Linked DNA regions of Callithrix jacchus. The protein of the gene in region 1 purifies or fractionates together with the protein of each later gene. This does not show direct contact. Links are inferred from orthologs where the notes say so. Each region holds a gene or a part of one and is shown on either strand. Other genes may lie near its edges.

Region 1 (7,082 bases):
AAAGCAGGTATGCAAGAAATAGCTCCTGCGCCGAGTTTGAATTTCTCATCCTCTCTGTTCTCAGTGTGGGGTCCTGCTGAGGTGGGGTGAGGGGCCCCTGGGTGGGCGGGCCTGGAGGTGACGCCCGCTGGTTCTGCTTTGCAGCAGCAGTGGACGGCAGCTGAGTGAGGTCTTCATCCAGCTGCCCTCTCGAAAGGAGCTGCCCGAGTACTACGAGCTCATCCGCAAGCCCGTGGACTTCAAGAAGATCAAGGTAACCCTGATGTGCTTCTGCCCCGGGGGGAGTCTGATGCAGGGGCACCCCCATCTGAGTGTGGTGGTGTATGGGAATAATGACCAGAAACCACCTGGGCAGGGCCTTGGGCTACCTGGTTAGGGACCTGTTCATGGGCTTTTTGGGGTTCCTTTTGGGGGTTGGGAGTGTCCCAAGGGATGTCAGTGGGCCATTGGTTTTGGCTGCTCCTTCGAGGTCACACTCCCTCAAGTGCTGGGCCTTGGTCATGCCGTTCCTGTGTCTGGTGAGCTGGGGCTTCAGCCACATAACTCATAGGCATGAGGAATCCTAGCCCTCAGGGTTCCCAGCACGCAACAGGGCCTGCAGCAGGGGAGGCGGGGTCCAGAGGTGAGACCTGCTCTTCCCACCCCTTGCAGGAGCGCATCCGCAACCACAAGTACCGCAGCCTCAATGACCTGGAGAAGGACGTCATGCTGCTGTGCCAGAACGCGCAGACCTTCAACCTGGAGGGCTCCCTGGTAAGGGCACCGCTTGGGGGTGGGGATGGGCCACTCCCACAACTGGGCTTTGAACCAGCCCACCTCTCCGTCCCTTCTGAATTGACGGGTTAAAAACAATTCCCTGGCCAGGCGTGGTGGCTCACACCTGTAATCCCAGCACTTTGGGAGGCCAAGGCAGGTGGATCACCTGAAATTAGGAGTTCAAGACCAGCTTGGCCAACATGGTGAAACCCCATCTTTACTCAAAATACAAAAATTAGCTGGGCATGGTGGCAGGCACCTGTAATCACAACTGCTTGGGAGGCTGAGGCAGGAGAATCGCTCGAGTCCCAGAGGCGGAAGTTGCGGTGAGCCAAGGTCATGCTGTTGAACTCCAGCCTGGGCAACGAGAGTGAAACCCAGTCTCAAAACCAAAAAACCACCACCACCAAAAAGAACCACACAATTCCTGCAAGGTGTGGTGGTTCATGCCTGTAATCCCTGCACTTTGGGAGTCTGAGGCAGGAGGATCACATGAGACCAGGAGTTCAAGACCAGCCTGGGAAACATAGCAAGACCCTGTCTCAAAAAAATTTTTTTTAATTTCGAACAACTTGGGATATTTTAGTAATTACAAAAACCATGAGTATTTACTGAAGAAAATAAAGATAGGCACAACAGAAGAAGTAGACAGAGTCCTCTGTCTGTTGGAATTTTATTTAAATTCCTTGGGGCACACTGTCTTCAAAGGAACGCTATGGATGTGTTCTTGCCCGTGATGGAATTGACACACATACACAGCCTCAGCTTGGCAAAGTTCTCTTAGTGTGTTTGGGATCAATACCCCTCAGAAAAACAGATTTGATTTTGATGAATTTGGGGAAGATGCTGGCTTCCACACGGAGCTTGCATTTTTTTTTTTTTTTTTTACACGGAGTCTTACTCTGTCACCCATGCTGGAGTGATCTCAGCTCACTGCAACCTCAACCTCCTGGGTTCAAGTGATTCTCCTGCCTCAGCCTCCAGAGTAGCTGGGACTATAGACACCTGCCACCACACCCAGCTATTTTTGCATTTTTAGTAGAGATGGGGTTTTACCATCTCTACTAAATGGTAAGGATGCTTACCATTGGCCAGGAGGCTCTTGATCTCTTGACCTCCTAATCCTCCTGCCTGGGCTGGGATTACAGGCGTGGGCCACCTCGCCCAGCCCTAGGGGCATGCATTTCTAATGTTATTGCAGACCTTCTCCAGAAAGAGGAAGGCACCTGCAGCCAGTCCCAAACCAGTGTGCCTGAGCATTCATCCTGGAGCACTGCAGAAGCCTGTTGCTCTTTGGGGTACCTGTGCAGGACGATTATAGAGAGGGCCCTCCACCTTGGGTGGGCTGAAGCCCCAGCCCACTGAGACTCGTACTGGCCACTGATGAGCTGTCCAGGGGCAAAACAGGGCTGGTGCTGGGGCCAGGCAGGCAGCCCTCCCATCGGGCCCATCCACTCAAGCCCCTGGTGTCTCCACCCAGATCTATGAAGACTCCATCGTCCTGCAGTCAGTCTTCACCAGCGTAAGGCAGAAGATTGAGAAGGAGGATGACAGTGAAGGCGAGGAGAGTGAGGAGGAGGAAGAGGGCGAGGAGGAAGGCTCCGAATCTGAGTGTGAGTCCCTCGGGGGTTCAGGATGCCAGGGTTCACGCTGGTCTGAGAGCCCCCAAGGCCCCAGCTGTTCACAGCCCTCCCAGCTCCCAGATGCCCCTTGCTGTAGAGGTGCTGTGTTCCCAGAGCTCACAGCTCCCTTTTCCTTCTGGTCCCCTCCAGCTCGATCTGTCAAAGTGAAGATCAAGCTTGGCCGGAAGGAGAAGGCACAGGACCGGCTGAAGGGCAGCCGGCGGCGGCCGAGCCGAGGGTCCCGAGCCAAGCCGGTCGTAAGTGACGATGACAGTGAGGAGGAACAAGAGGAGGTGAGGCTGGGCCCCGGGGCAGGCGGGGCAGGTGGGGCAGGCAGGGCTGGCGGGCAGCAGGAGGCAGCCCAGGGCCCTGACGGGATGGCCCTACGGGGCAATACTCCCACTCTGCAGATGGGGAAACTGAGGCTTCACGTTCCATGGCTGGCCCGTGGTCACACAGCAAGTACGTGGCAGAGCTGCCACTTAAGCCCAGGCCTGTGTGACCCTAAAACCAGCTATCAATACCTGTGCATGTCTGGGGACTGGGGGACCTGAGGTCTCAGGATGGACAGGAGGTGGGCCTAGGGCACCAGCGTCTGGGGTGAGGCTGGGCAGGCCAGGGGTTGATTGGGGTCAGGTGGGAGGTGCCAGGATTGAGGACCCACCAGGCAGTGCCCCATCTCCTTAGTGGCACACAGTGGAAAGTTTCTGGGGGGGCAGTGGGGGAGCCTGAACAGATACATTTACTGGCTTTTTTTGAGACAGAGTCTCACTCTATTGCCAGGCTGGTATGCAGTGGCATCATTTCAGCTCACTGCAACCTGTACCTCCTGGCTTCAAGCGATTCTTCTGCCTCAGCTGTCACCCCAAGTAGCTGTGACTACAGGCACATACCACCACGCCCCATGATTTTTTTGTATTTTAGTAGAGATGGTGTTTCACCGTTTGGCCAGGATGGTCTCGATCTCCTGACCTTGTGATCCACCCGCCTCGGCCTCCTAAAGTGCTGGGATTACAGGTGTGAGCCACTGCGCTTAGCCCCCTTGCTAGCTATAAATAAGATACGTCGTCTTTGTCTCTGGCCCTTCCTGGCTATGGGACCTGGCAGGCCACTCTGCTTCTGAAAGCTTCAGCTTCCTCTTAGCAAACAAGGAGGCTGCGTGGATTATGGGGGCTGCCCCCGCTCGAGGCCTGGCTCCCACCAAAGCCTGATGAATGCCATTTGGTCATTACAGAAGTAGGAAATGTCTGTGCCTGGGAATTAGTCTGACAAAACAGGCACGTGACCTTTGAGGACATTCATGAAGTCCTCATGGGGAAGGGAGGCCCGTGTGTCAGACAGGAGGGTCTGGGCTGTAGTGGCATCTCTCTTGCCCAACCCAGAACAGCGTGTTTTATGGCCCATGCCAGGCTTAAAAAGGCTTTATGAGGCCGGGCATGGTGGCTCACGCCTATAATCCCAGCACTTTGGGAGGCTGAGGCGGGTGGATCACAAGGTCAAGAGATCGAGACCATCCTGGTCAACAAGGTGAAACCCCGTCTCTACTAAAAATACAAAAATTAGCTGAGCATGATGGTGCACACCTGTAGTCCCAGCTACTCGGGAGGCTGAGGCAGGAGAATTGCTTGAACCCAGGAGGCAGAGGTTGCGGCGAGCCGAGATTGTGCCATTGCACTCCATTCTAGGTAACAACAGCAAAACTCCGTCTCCAAAAAAAAAAAAAGGCTTTATGAGGCCAGGCCTGGTGGCTCACACCTGTTAATCCCAGCACTTTGGGAAGCTGAGGCAGGAGGATTACTTGAGCCTGGGAGGTAGAGGCTGTAGAGAGCCATAATCGCACCACTGCACTTCAGCCTGGGCAACAGAGCAAGACCCTGTCTTAAAAAAAATTTTTTTTTTTTTTTTTTTAATAAAAATAAAAGGACTGGGCACGGTGGCTCGTGCTTGTAATCCCAACACTTTGGGAGGCCAAGGCGGGTGAATCACAAGGTCAGGAATTCAGAACCAGCTTGAACTACATCGTGAAACCTGTCTCTACTAAAAATATAAAAATTAGCCAGGTGTGGTGGCACACGCCTGTAATCCCAGCTACTCAGGAGGCTGAGGCAGGACAATTGCTCGAACCCAGTAGGCGGAGGTTGTAATGAGCCAAGATCGCACCACTACACTCTGTCTCAAAAAAAAAAAAAAAATTACATGAAAGCGCAAAGATCTTTCGCAGTCAGGAAGAGCCAAAATGTTTTGGAAGCTGTAGGTCAGGGGCCCAAGGCCAGGCAAGTGACATGGGACAGAGCAGGGAAGGCACATGGAGCCTCACGGGTCCCAAGAGAGTGAGTGTGGGCACAGGGACTGCTGCTCTAGAGAAACATGAAGTTGGGGTGTGGCCGTGGTTGCGGCAGCTTCTGTGGCCAGCGTCAGTTTTTTTTTTCTTGAGCAAGTTTATTTAATGCTTGGCAGGCCTCTGGCAGGGGCAGCTAACACTCACTCTCTCCTGTCTCCTCTCCAGGACCGCTCAGGAAGTGGCAGTGAGGAAGACTGAACCCCGACATTCCAGTCTCGACCCCGAGCCCCTCGTTCCAGAGCCGAGATGGCATAGGCCTTAGCAGTAACGGGTAGCAACAGACGTAGTTTCAGACTTGGGATAAAACTGTATAAACAAAAGAATCTTCCATATTTATACGGCAGAGAAGCTGTAGGACTGTTTGTGACTGGCCCTGTCCTGGCATCAGTAGCGTTTGTAACAGCATTAACTGTCTAACAGAGAGAGAGAGAGAATTCGGAATTGGGGAACACACGATACCTGTTTTTCTTTTCCTTTCCCGGCAGTTTGGAGTCACTGTAGTTCAGCGTGGATGCATGTGCGTCACCGTCCACTCCTCGTACTGTATTTTACTGGACAGGTCAGACTCGCCGGGGTATGTCAGTGTCACTGGATGTCAATCAGTAATAAATTAAACCAACAACAAAACGCACAGCCTACAGGTGGACTCATGCCTGGCTCCCCGGGTTTCTGCCAGCAGTAGTGGCGGGGCCACCTCATGTCCAGGTCCCCGTCCTCCCAGCACCAGAACCCATGGGGCCCATTTCACAGAGGAGGATCCTGAAGACGTGGCAGGGAGAGAGGACTTGCCTGGCTATGCAGGTGGCCTTTGCTGCCACAGCTCTCCAGCATGCATTCACCTGGGTCCTACGGTGCGGGGAGCAGGTGGCTCTGTCCCTTCCCTGCCTGTGGCCAGGGCTGGGTTGTGGAGACCCTCACAGAAACGGGCAGACGTCACATAGAGCTCTCGGTCAGGCCCATTCTGCAGGAAGCTCAGGGCATAAAGCGCAGGAAGCCCGGTGGTCAGGAAGGGCTTCTAAATCCAGAAAATAATTTGAGGTTTTCTTTTTTGTTTCTTTTTTGACACGAAGTCTGTGTCGCCCAGGCTAGAATGTAGAGGCGTGATCTCGGCTCACTGCAACCTCTGCCTCCCAAGTTCAAGCCGTTATCCTGCCTCAGCCTCCTGAGGAGCTGGTGTTAAAGGCCACCATGCCCAGCTAATTTTTTGTATTTTTAGTAGAGACTGGCTTTCATCATGTTGGCCAGGCTGCTCTGAAACTCCGACCTCAGGTGATCCACCCGCCTTGGCCTCCCAAAGTGCAGAGAATAGCCTGGCCATTAATTTTTGTGTTTTTCTTAGAGGCGGGGTGTCAGCATGTTACCCAGGCTGGTCTCGAACTCCTGAATTCAAGCAATCCTCCTACCTCACCCTGTTTTATAAATCAAGACAGGGTATTGCTCTGTTGCCCAGGCTGGAGTGCAGCAATGCAGTCAGCTCACTACAGCCTCAATTCAGAGCTCAGATAATCCTCCTCCTGCAGCCTCCACAGTATCTGGGTCCACAGAAGTGTGCCACCAAGCCCAGCATCGATTTTTAATAGCGGCTTTGCAGTCTTTAAGTCTGACATGTTGGCCAGGGTGGTCTTGAGCTCTTGACCTCGTGATCCATCTGCCTCAGCCTCCCCAAGTGCTGCGATTACACTGTGCTCGGCGGCTCTTGTTTTTCTTTTGAAGGAGTCACCCCTGGGTCAGCTGAGCTGAGACGTCAGTTGGTGATTGGTCAGAACTTTCGTCCAAACGCTGAGTTAGTGGCTCTGCCCAGGCAGTTTGCAGGCTGGCCCTACCTTTGCTTTCTGCCCGTGGTTCCTCTCGGGGTGCACTTGAGTTCTGCTGGGCAGAGACATGCATCAGGCTCTCTTTGGAGCGACCTCAGGTGATCTGCCCGCCTTGGCTTCCCCAAGTCCTGGGATTCCTGGCATGAGCCACCGTGCCTGGCAAAAAAAAAAAATTGAGATGAGTGTCGGTCTGTCACCAGGCTGGAGTGCAGTGTCACAATCTCAGCTCACTGCAACCTCTGCCGCCTGGGTTCAAGCATTTCTCCTGCCTCAGCCTCCCAAGTAGCTGGGACTACAGGCATGTGCCACCACACCCAGCTAATTTTTATATTTTTTAGTAGAGATGGGTTTTTACCATGTTGGCCTGGTAGTCTGGATCTGTTGACCTTGTGATCCACCCACCTCAGGCTCCTAATGTGCTGCGATTACAGGTGTGGGCCACCGTGCCCGGCCCAAAAAAAAATTTTTAAGGAAAATAATTTTTAAGAGAAAAAATGAGGGGAGCCTACAGAAACAACTTTGTGTGACCACCTGTGCGAAGCCCATTTG
Region 2 (7,179 bases), on another chromosome or scaffold:
TAGAAGACTTTTATTCCATCTGCTTGTTAATTAGACTCTGACATGAGGAGTACACATACATAGGTGACACTTTACCCTACAGCAGGTGGTACTATGCAGTCTTGCAGGGTGAGAGGCCTGGGGCTGCTTTGTTCTGAAGAGACTGGGGGACGCATCATAGCCACCTTCAAGCACAGTTGTGGCCCATGGTACAGTGGAGAGGCTGGGGGACGTTAGGAGGAATAGGTCAAAGGCACCATAAAGAACTTTCCAGGCCGGGCGCGGTGGCTCCCACCTGTGATCCCGGCATCAGGCCAGGCACGATGGCTCCCACCTCTGATCCCAGAATCACGCTGGGCGCGGTGGCTCCCACCTGTGATCCCAGCATTGTGAGGGCCAGGGCAGAGGATTGTGTGAGCCTGGGAAGTTGAGACCAGCCTAGACAACATAGTGAGACCCCATCTCTACTAAAAATCAGAAAAATTAGCCAGATATGGTGGCAAGCGCCAGTTGTCCCAGCTACTTGGGAGGCTGAGGCGGGAGCATAGCTTGAGCCCAGGGGCTCAAGGCTGCAGTTAACTGTGGTTGCACCACTGTGCTCCAGCCTTGATAATAGAGGGAGACCCTGTCTTAAAAAAAAGAGGGAGAGAATGTGCCAACTTTGAGTCATCCCTCGTCAGACAGGCTGGGGCTGGAATTGTTCCTGGTGACAGCATCTATTAGGAGCCTGCAGAATCCAGTAAAACAGGAGGGTGCTCATGCACAGGGCACCAGTAATAGGAGGGGACCAGAGTGGGGCCGACCAAGCTGGGAGGGGACACCAGGGGCCATGGGGCCACGCATGCTGGGCAGGAGCATTGGGATGTGCGTGGTGGGGGAGAGGCCCAGGTGGAGTACAAGCCCTGCACTTGCATGGAAGTGAGGTTTGCAGTGGCTCAGAGACTGCACAGAGCCTGGCCCCTCGTGACCTGGCTGCTGGGCACCATGGCCCTTAGGAGAGACCGCCCCATGAGCTGCAAGAGCCGGGTGTGGAGCTGGATGGGATGCGCCCTCTCTGTGAAAATGCAAGGAAGATGAGACTGTACACTTGCGCACACGCACGCTCACGCTATCGACCAACTGGACAAACACCAAAACAACTAACAGAAACGCTTACAGTGGAAGACGGGGTTAGGCTAGAGCAGGGGTGGACATGGCCTCCTTTCCAGGACCTCTTGAAGGTGTGGGTCTGTCTGCATTTACCTTTGAATCATGTGGATGTGCTGGCAGCTTCAGGAGCGAACCATTACTGGGGCCGAGAACAGTGGCTCATCCCTATAATCCCAGCACTTTGGGAGGCTGAGGCAGGTGGATCACTTGAGGTCAGGAGTTTGAGACCAGCCTGGCCAACATGGTGAAACTCCATCTCTACTCAGAAATAGAAAAATTAGCCAGGCGTGGTGGCATGGGTCTGTAATCCCAGCTTCTTGCAAGGCTAAGGTAAGAGAATCAGTTGAACCTGGGAGGCAGAGGTTGCAGTGAGCTGAGATCACCCAAGTGCACTGCAGCCTGGGGCGACAGAGGCGAGATTCCATCTGGAAAAAAAGGAACATCATTGGCTGTCACAGAAACTGAAAGGACCCTACCTTATGGCTGTCCATACCTCCTGGAGTCCCAAGAGCACCCGGCGTGTGTGTGTTTCACAGGCTGTCGCCAGGTGGTGACCAGCGTGTCCTGGAGTGGACGACGGGGTGGGGAGGCCGGGGCTACCTTGGCTGCATCCTTGTGTGGATCACTGTATTTATGTGACGGCTCTGAGCTGCCCATTCACTTATTCCTTGTGGCCAATTGTGACCGCATCGTGCTCCTTCTGAGCAAGCAGAGGAGGCAACGTAACCAGGCACGTTCTGGCCTGTTGTTACACAGATGCACCAGGCTGCCCAGCACCTTCTCACAGACGCCCCGCAGAATGCCAGAGGTATTTAGAGAAAGAAAAGGAAGAACCATGGAGTATTTGCTGGTTGCAGAGGAAAGGCCCCATATCTACCCACCCCATTGCTTTCCTGTCAAGAGCACAGCCTGGGCTCCCCCGGCTCTGCTGGTTTCATGAAACATATCTGAAAACAGCAAAGGTCTTTTCCACAGCCTTTGTGCCCCCTTTCCCTGCAGAGTTATCTCAGCAGCCCCCTTTCTCAGGGGATAGGGCAGCTGCTGCCCGTTCACAGTAGATCGGCTGAGCACCCACGGGGGTGTGAGAGCCAGGCCTGGTCCCTGTGGACTGGGGCTGTGTGTTCTAGGCTGGCACTTGCACAGTTGTTGTGTGCCGGCTATGTGCCAGGGCAGAGCTGGCCCATTTCCTGCAAACTGGCTCCTTAATTATATAAAGAATAAAGTGGGCTATAAAACATGAGGATATGCAGGCTGACACCTCTGAGAAACCCCCCATATCAGATGGCTTTCCTGGGGGCAGGATTGAGAACAGCGACCTTAAGTCCTCCCACGTGATGATGACAGCTCGTTTGCCAGCTGTCACTGGAACCGGCCCTGGATTTTGAGGGAGGTATGGAAGTTCAGGACTCAAGGGATTTCCTGGATGAAGAGTAACTGGGAAGGCTTAAGCAGGTTTCTCCAAAGTTCTCACCTTAGGGAGGAGCTCAACCTGGAATAAAAGCAGGTGTTTTGTCATCCCATCTAACCACAGGTTGAGTTACCCTGATGGGTTTTTAAGCTATTCCAATGTGCATCATCTCAATAAAGCTGTTATTTTAAAAAATACATTACTAGATTCCAGTTTTAAAATACTTAAATTTTACAGCTTCTGAAAAAGGAAAGTTATTTCCAACCAGACAAGTAAAATAGGAAAATTGACTCTTTGCATGGAGCATGGTGGCATACGCCTGTAATCCCAACGGTTTGGAAGGCCGGTGCAGCAGGCTTGCTTGAGGTTAGCCTGGGAAACATAAGGAGACCCTGTCTCTACAAAAGATTTAAAAATTATCTGGGCATGCTGGTACATACCTATAGTCCTAGCTACTCAGGAGGCTCAAGTCAGAGGATCACTTGAGCCAGGGAGATTGAAGCTGCAGTGAGCTTTGATGGCACCACTGCACTCAAGCCTGGGTGAGAGAGTGAGGGCCTGTCACTGAAAAAAATAAAATTATGTCTGCACAGACTCTATGCCCAGATAAGGTCCCATTCGCAGGCCCTTGGCTCACTTGAGCCCTGGAGGTGGAGGCAGAGGCTGCAGGGAGCCGAGATTGCGCCACTGCACTCCACCTGGTGACAGAGTGAGTTATTAATAATAACTTGGCTTTATCAGTTCTTTCTGAATCCTTTGACTGAGTCCTCCCAGGACTTCAGCATCTCTCTGGGGAGCACTGTTCCGCCCACAATGCTGGCGTTCGTCTCTGTCTTAGTTGTCGCGTTAACAGTTTCATTTCTTAGCTTTCCATTTGTATTTCCGTAAGATAAGAAAAAGGTATAGTTTAGTATTTGAATCGTTGTGAGAAAGTGTACATGCCAAAGCCACAGATTTGGTTTTGGAATTCCAGAGTTAACGTGTCGTGAGCTGCTCAAAGAATGCGCTGCCTTAGCCTGGACGGCTCCTATAGCCTGCGCAGGAAGTCAGCTACGTGTCTCCTTCTCCCTCCAGGGAACTCTCAGTACAGCCAGCAGCAGGCCGGGTACCAGCAGGGCGCCGCGCAGCAGCAGGCCTACTCCCAGCAGCAGTACCCCAGCCAGCAGAGCTACCCCGGGCAGCAGCAGGGCTACGGTAAGCGGGGCATGTTCCTCAGGGCCCCCCAGCGCACACAGACACGTGTGCAGCAACCCTGGTACATAGGCAGATGTGTAATCAGCTTCTTATTTTGAATAGCTTTAGGTTTCCAGAGAAGTTGGGAACATCCATGCATGTCGGCCTGAAACATTGTAACTTAAACATCAACATAAATTCATTGCCCAAGCAGCCTGTGAGGGAGCCAGTGTCCTGTCCATCCGCCACCTGCACGCTCCATGCCCAGCTTCAACCTCTTTGACAGAGCAGGTCAAAGCCTGTGGGTCTCGGCATTCACTGCAGCTTAGAATCACCCAGGAAGCTTCTGAAAAATAAGGTCTGGGGCTGCCCCAGATCAGTCTGTGCAAAATCTCAGTTCTCAGGATGAGCCTCACCCACGTGACTTCTTGTGAGACTCATGCATGATTCTGCTGTGGTGAGGAAGGAGAGGCCCTGTTAAAGGTTGCTCACCCTTTAGGGCCATCGCTAATTAAATAGTAGTTTAAATATCACTTGAGGAGGCTGGGAACAGCGGCTCACCCCTATAATTCCAGCACTTTGGGAGGCAGAGGCGGGCAGATCACCTGAGGTCAGGGGTTCAAGACCAGCCTGACCAATATGGCGAAACCCCATCTTTTTTTTTATTTTTAATTAATTAAAAATAAATTAGCCAGGCATGGTGGTGTGTGCCTGTAATCCCAGCTACTAGGGAGGCTGAGACAGGAGAATTGCTTGAACCTGGAAGATGGAGGTTGCAGTGAGCCAAGGTCGTGCCACTGCACTCCAGCCTGGGTGACAGAGCGAGACTCTGTCTCAAAATAAAAAGAACTTGAGGCTCATTGTGGTGGCTCATGTCTATAATCACAGCACTTTGGGAGGCTGAAGCCGAAGGACTGATTGAGGCCAGGAGTTTGAGACCAGCCTGGGTGACATAGTGAAACCATCTCTACAAAAAAATACAAAAACGAGCCGGCATGGTGGTGTACTTCTGTGGTTCCAGCTACTTGGGAGGCTGAAGCAGGAGAATCACTTGAGCCCAGAAGGTGGAGGTTGCCATGAGCCAAGATCATGCCACTGCACTCCATCCTGGGTGACAGAGTGAGACCCTGTCTCAAAAAAAAAATTACTTGGCCTTCATCAGTCCTCTCCAAAGCCTTTGACTTAGGCTTCCTAGAGACGATGCCTCTGTAAGTTTTCCGCAGCTCCTGTGATAGTTAACTTAGAGCAGCCAGTGTGACTGGCACCAGCGGGTTCTGGAGGGCTCTCCTGCTCCTCCATCTTTGGGTAGCAGCAGCTCAGGGGTGATGCAGAGAGGCCGTCAGTGCCCCCATGCTGGTGGCAGGCTTGGGGCACAGTCCTGCAACCTCACAGGACTGGAGGGGCTGGTGAGTTGGTTGTGTGCTGCTCTCGCCATACGGAGTTAACGTGAAGCTCCTGCCGGTGCAGAAAGACGGATGCACCCATTTTGGCCTGCCTCACGGTTTCTGCTGTTTTCTCAGGGCCTGCCCAGGGAGCCCCCTCGCAGTACCCCGGCTACCAGCAAGGCCAAGGCCAGCAGTACGGAAGCTACAGAGCACCGCAGACGGCACCCTCTGCCCAGCAGCAGCGGCCCTACGGCTATGAGCAGGCAAGCTTTTTGGATGTTAACAGATGTGCCTGTCCGCCTTGCCTATTGAGACTTAATGAAGATTTCTCTTATGGCCATGAGGAATAATGAGCTAGAACTAACTGGCTTCCAGGGTTCCTTCCAGAATGTTAAGTCTCTGAGCCTGTAAGGTTTTTCAGAATTATTTCTGTGTACATGCTCACCTCAGTCATGCAGCAGCTTTTCATGCCCTAAACTTACTGTTAATCTGCATGCCTGGTTCTCCCATTCATTCCTTCACTCTGCCCACATTTGTTGTGTACTGGGCACACGGCAGGTCTCTGCTGGGTGCCTGGCATGTGGCCATGATATGAACCCTGTGCTTTTAGAACTTATGTCTTGTTCTGGAGACTGTCACTTGTCCGATGGGGCCAGACCTTGCTGAGCACGGATCGGGGAGCCCCTAGTGGAGCCTGCCTTCCAGTGCAGGCGGCCACATTTGACCAGTGTGGACAGTTCCAGAAGGAAGACACAGTGGGGAGTGGTGGGCAGCCGCAGGCTCAGCCCAGGGAAGGGGGAGCCCTTTCTGTCCAGGGACAGTGATCAGGGCTTTGAAAGAGCTAAGGAAAGAGCACCTTGGAAGCGAGAATAGTGGGAGCTCCCAGGACAGTAAGGAGGCCAGCGTGGCAGGAGGCGACAGGGATAGGTGGGCGTGGGGGCCCCCATAAAGGAGACATCACTGTCACTCTGAGTGGGACGGGGCCACTAGAGGAGGACAGGGTCTGTGTGGTGGGAGCACTGCGGGGGCAAGGGTCTCCCACAGGAGAATGAGCCAGGCACAGGAAGGGGCGTGCCAAGGTCCTGAGGCAACAGGTGGTTTGTCCCAGTGAAGGCAGCACAAAGGACGCTTGGTGGCTGGAGCAAGGGGCATACAAAGGAGAATGATCTTGGACAATTTTTGGAGCCTCCTCTGAGAGAGTCCTTAGCAGGAAGTGGTGACTCTATGTTGGTGACTCTGCACCTTTGGCCTCCACCCACAATGCCAGTAGCACACACATCGCCCAGTCTGACAGGGTGTCTCCAGACATTGCCGGATGTCCCCGGGGCATGCTGAAAAGTGTGCTGAGGCTTTGGGGTTGCCTGCGGGTTCCCAGGGCTCGGGCTGCTCAGCTCCTCGCCTGAGCAGCTCTGGATTCGAGACTTTCTGTCTTACCCAGTGGTGCAGGGGCAGAAAGACATCGGAACAGACTCCTGCTGGCTAGGGTCCTCAGAGCAGCTCTGAATGAGAATGTGGCAGCCTGTGTTCCGTCAGGAATGTGATGTCTGGATTCTCGGTCAGGCCAGGGCGACTTTCTTCCCTCCCCTCCCTCACTGTGGGCACTCAGGAAATCTGATGGTTACCTAGCTGGGGGCACATGGAGAATCAGGCCTGCAGACGTCGATTCGTGCCTTCCTCCATGGCAGTCCTCTGATTGGCTTTCATCACAGGTCTCGTGCTCCATTTGGCTCCTAAGGAATTCTCGGTCTTGTGGCCTTGCGGGCCGTGGGCTCTCTAGTTCTCTCTTCATGTTTTGAGACGGGGTCTTGCTGTTGCCCGGGCTGGAGTGCAGCAGCATGATCTCGGCTCACTGTAGCCTCCGCCTCCCAGGTTCTACTGATTCTCCTGTCTCAGCCTCCCAAGTAGTTGGGTTTACAAGCGTGTGCCACCACTACCGGCTAATTTTTTATTTTTAGTAGAGATAGGGTTTTGCCATGTTGACCAGGCTGGTCTCGAACTCCTGACCTCAGGTGATCCGCCCACTTAGGACTCCTATAGTGCTGGGATTATAGGTGTGAGCCACTATGCCCAGCTTGGATTGCTGGT

What was found.
Region 2: the proteins of SMARCA4 (region 1) and SS18L1 purify together in Homo sapiens (affinity purification with mass spectrometry; 3 studies listed by BioGRID and IntAct, with this or other methods). This does not show direct contact. The link is inferred for Callithrix jacchus from reciprocal best matches to the Homo sapiens genes SMARCA4 and SS18L1.

The regions. Positions count from the first base shown.
Region 1 is NC_133523.1:10,212,306-10,219,387, forward strand, and holds the end of SMARCA4 (SWI/SNF-related matrix-associated actin-dependent regulator of chromatin subfamily A member 4), read left to right. Parts: intron 1-144; coding exon 145-253; intron 254-651; coding exon 652-753; intron 754-2,236; coding exon 2,237-2,369; intron 2,370-2,528; coding exon 2,529-2,671; intron 2,672-4,796; exon of another isoform or gene 4,797-4,884; coding exon 4,885-4,917; 3' UTR 4,918-5,346; downstream 5,347-7,082. UniProt on the Homo sapiens protein: ATPase involved in transcriptional activation and repression of select genes by chromatin remodeling (alteration of DNA-nucleosome topology).
Region 2 is NC_133506.1:57,733,088-57,740,266, forward strand, and holds the end of SS18L1 (calcium-responsive transactivator), read left to right. Parts: intron 1-3,610; coding exon 3,611-3,730; intron 3,731-5,229; coding exon 5,230-5,444; 3' UTR 5,445-5,559; downstream 5,560-7,179. UniProt on the Homo sapiens protein: Transcriptional activator which is required for calcium-dependent dendritic growth and branching in cortical neurons. Recruits CREB-binding protein (CREBBP) to nuclear bodies.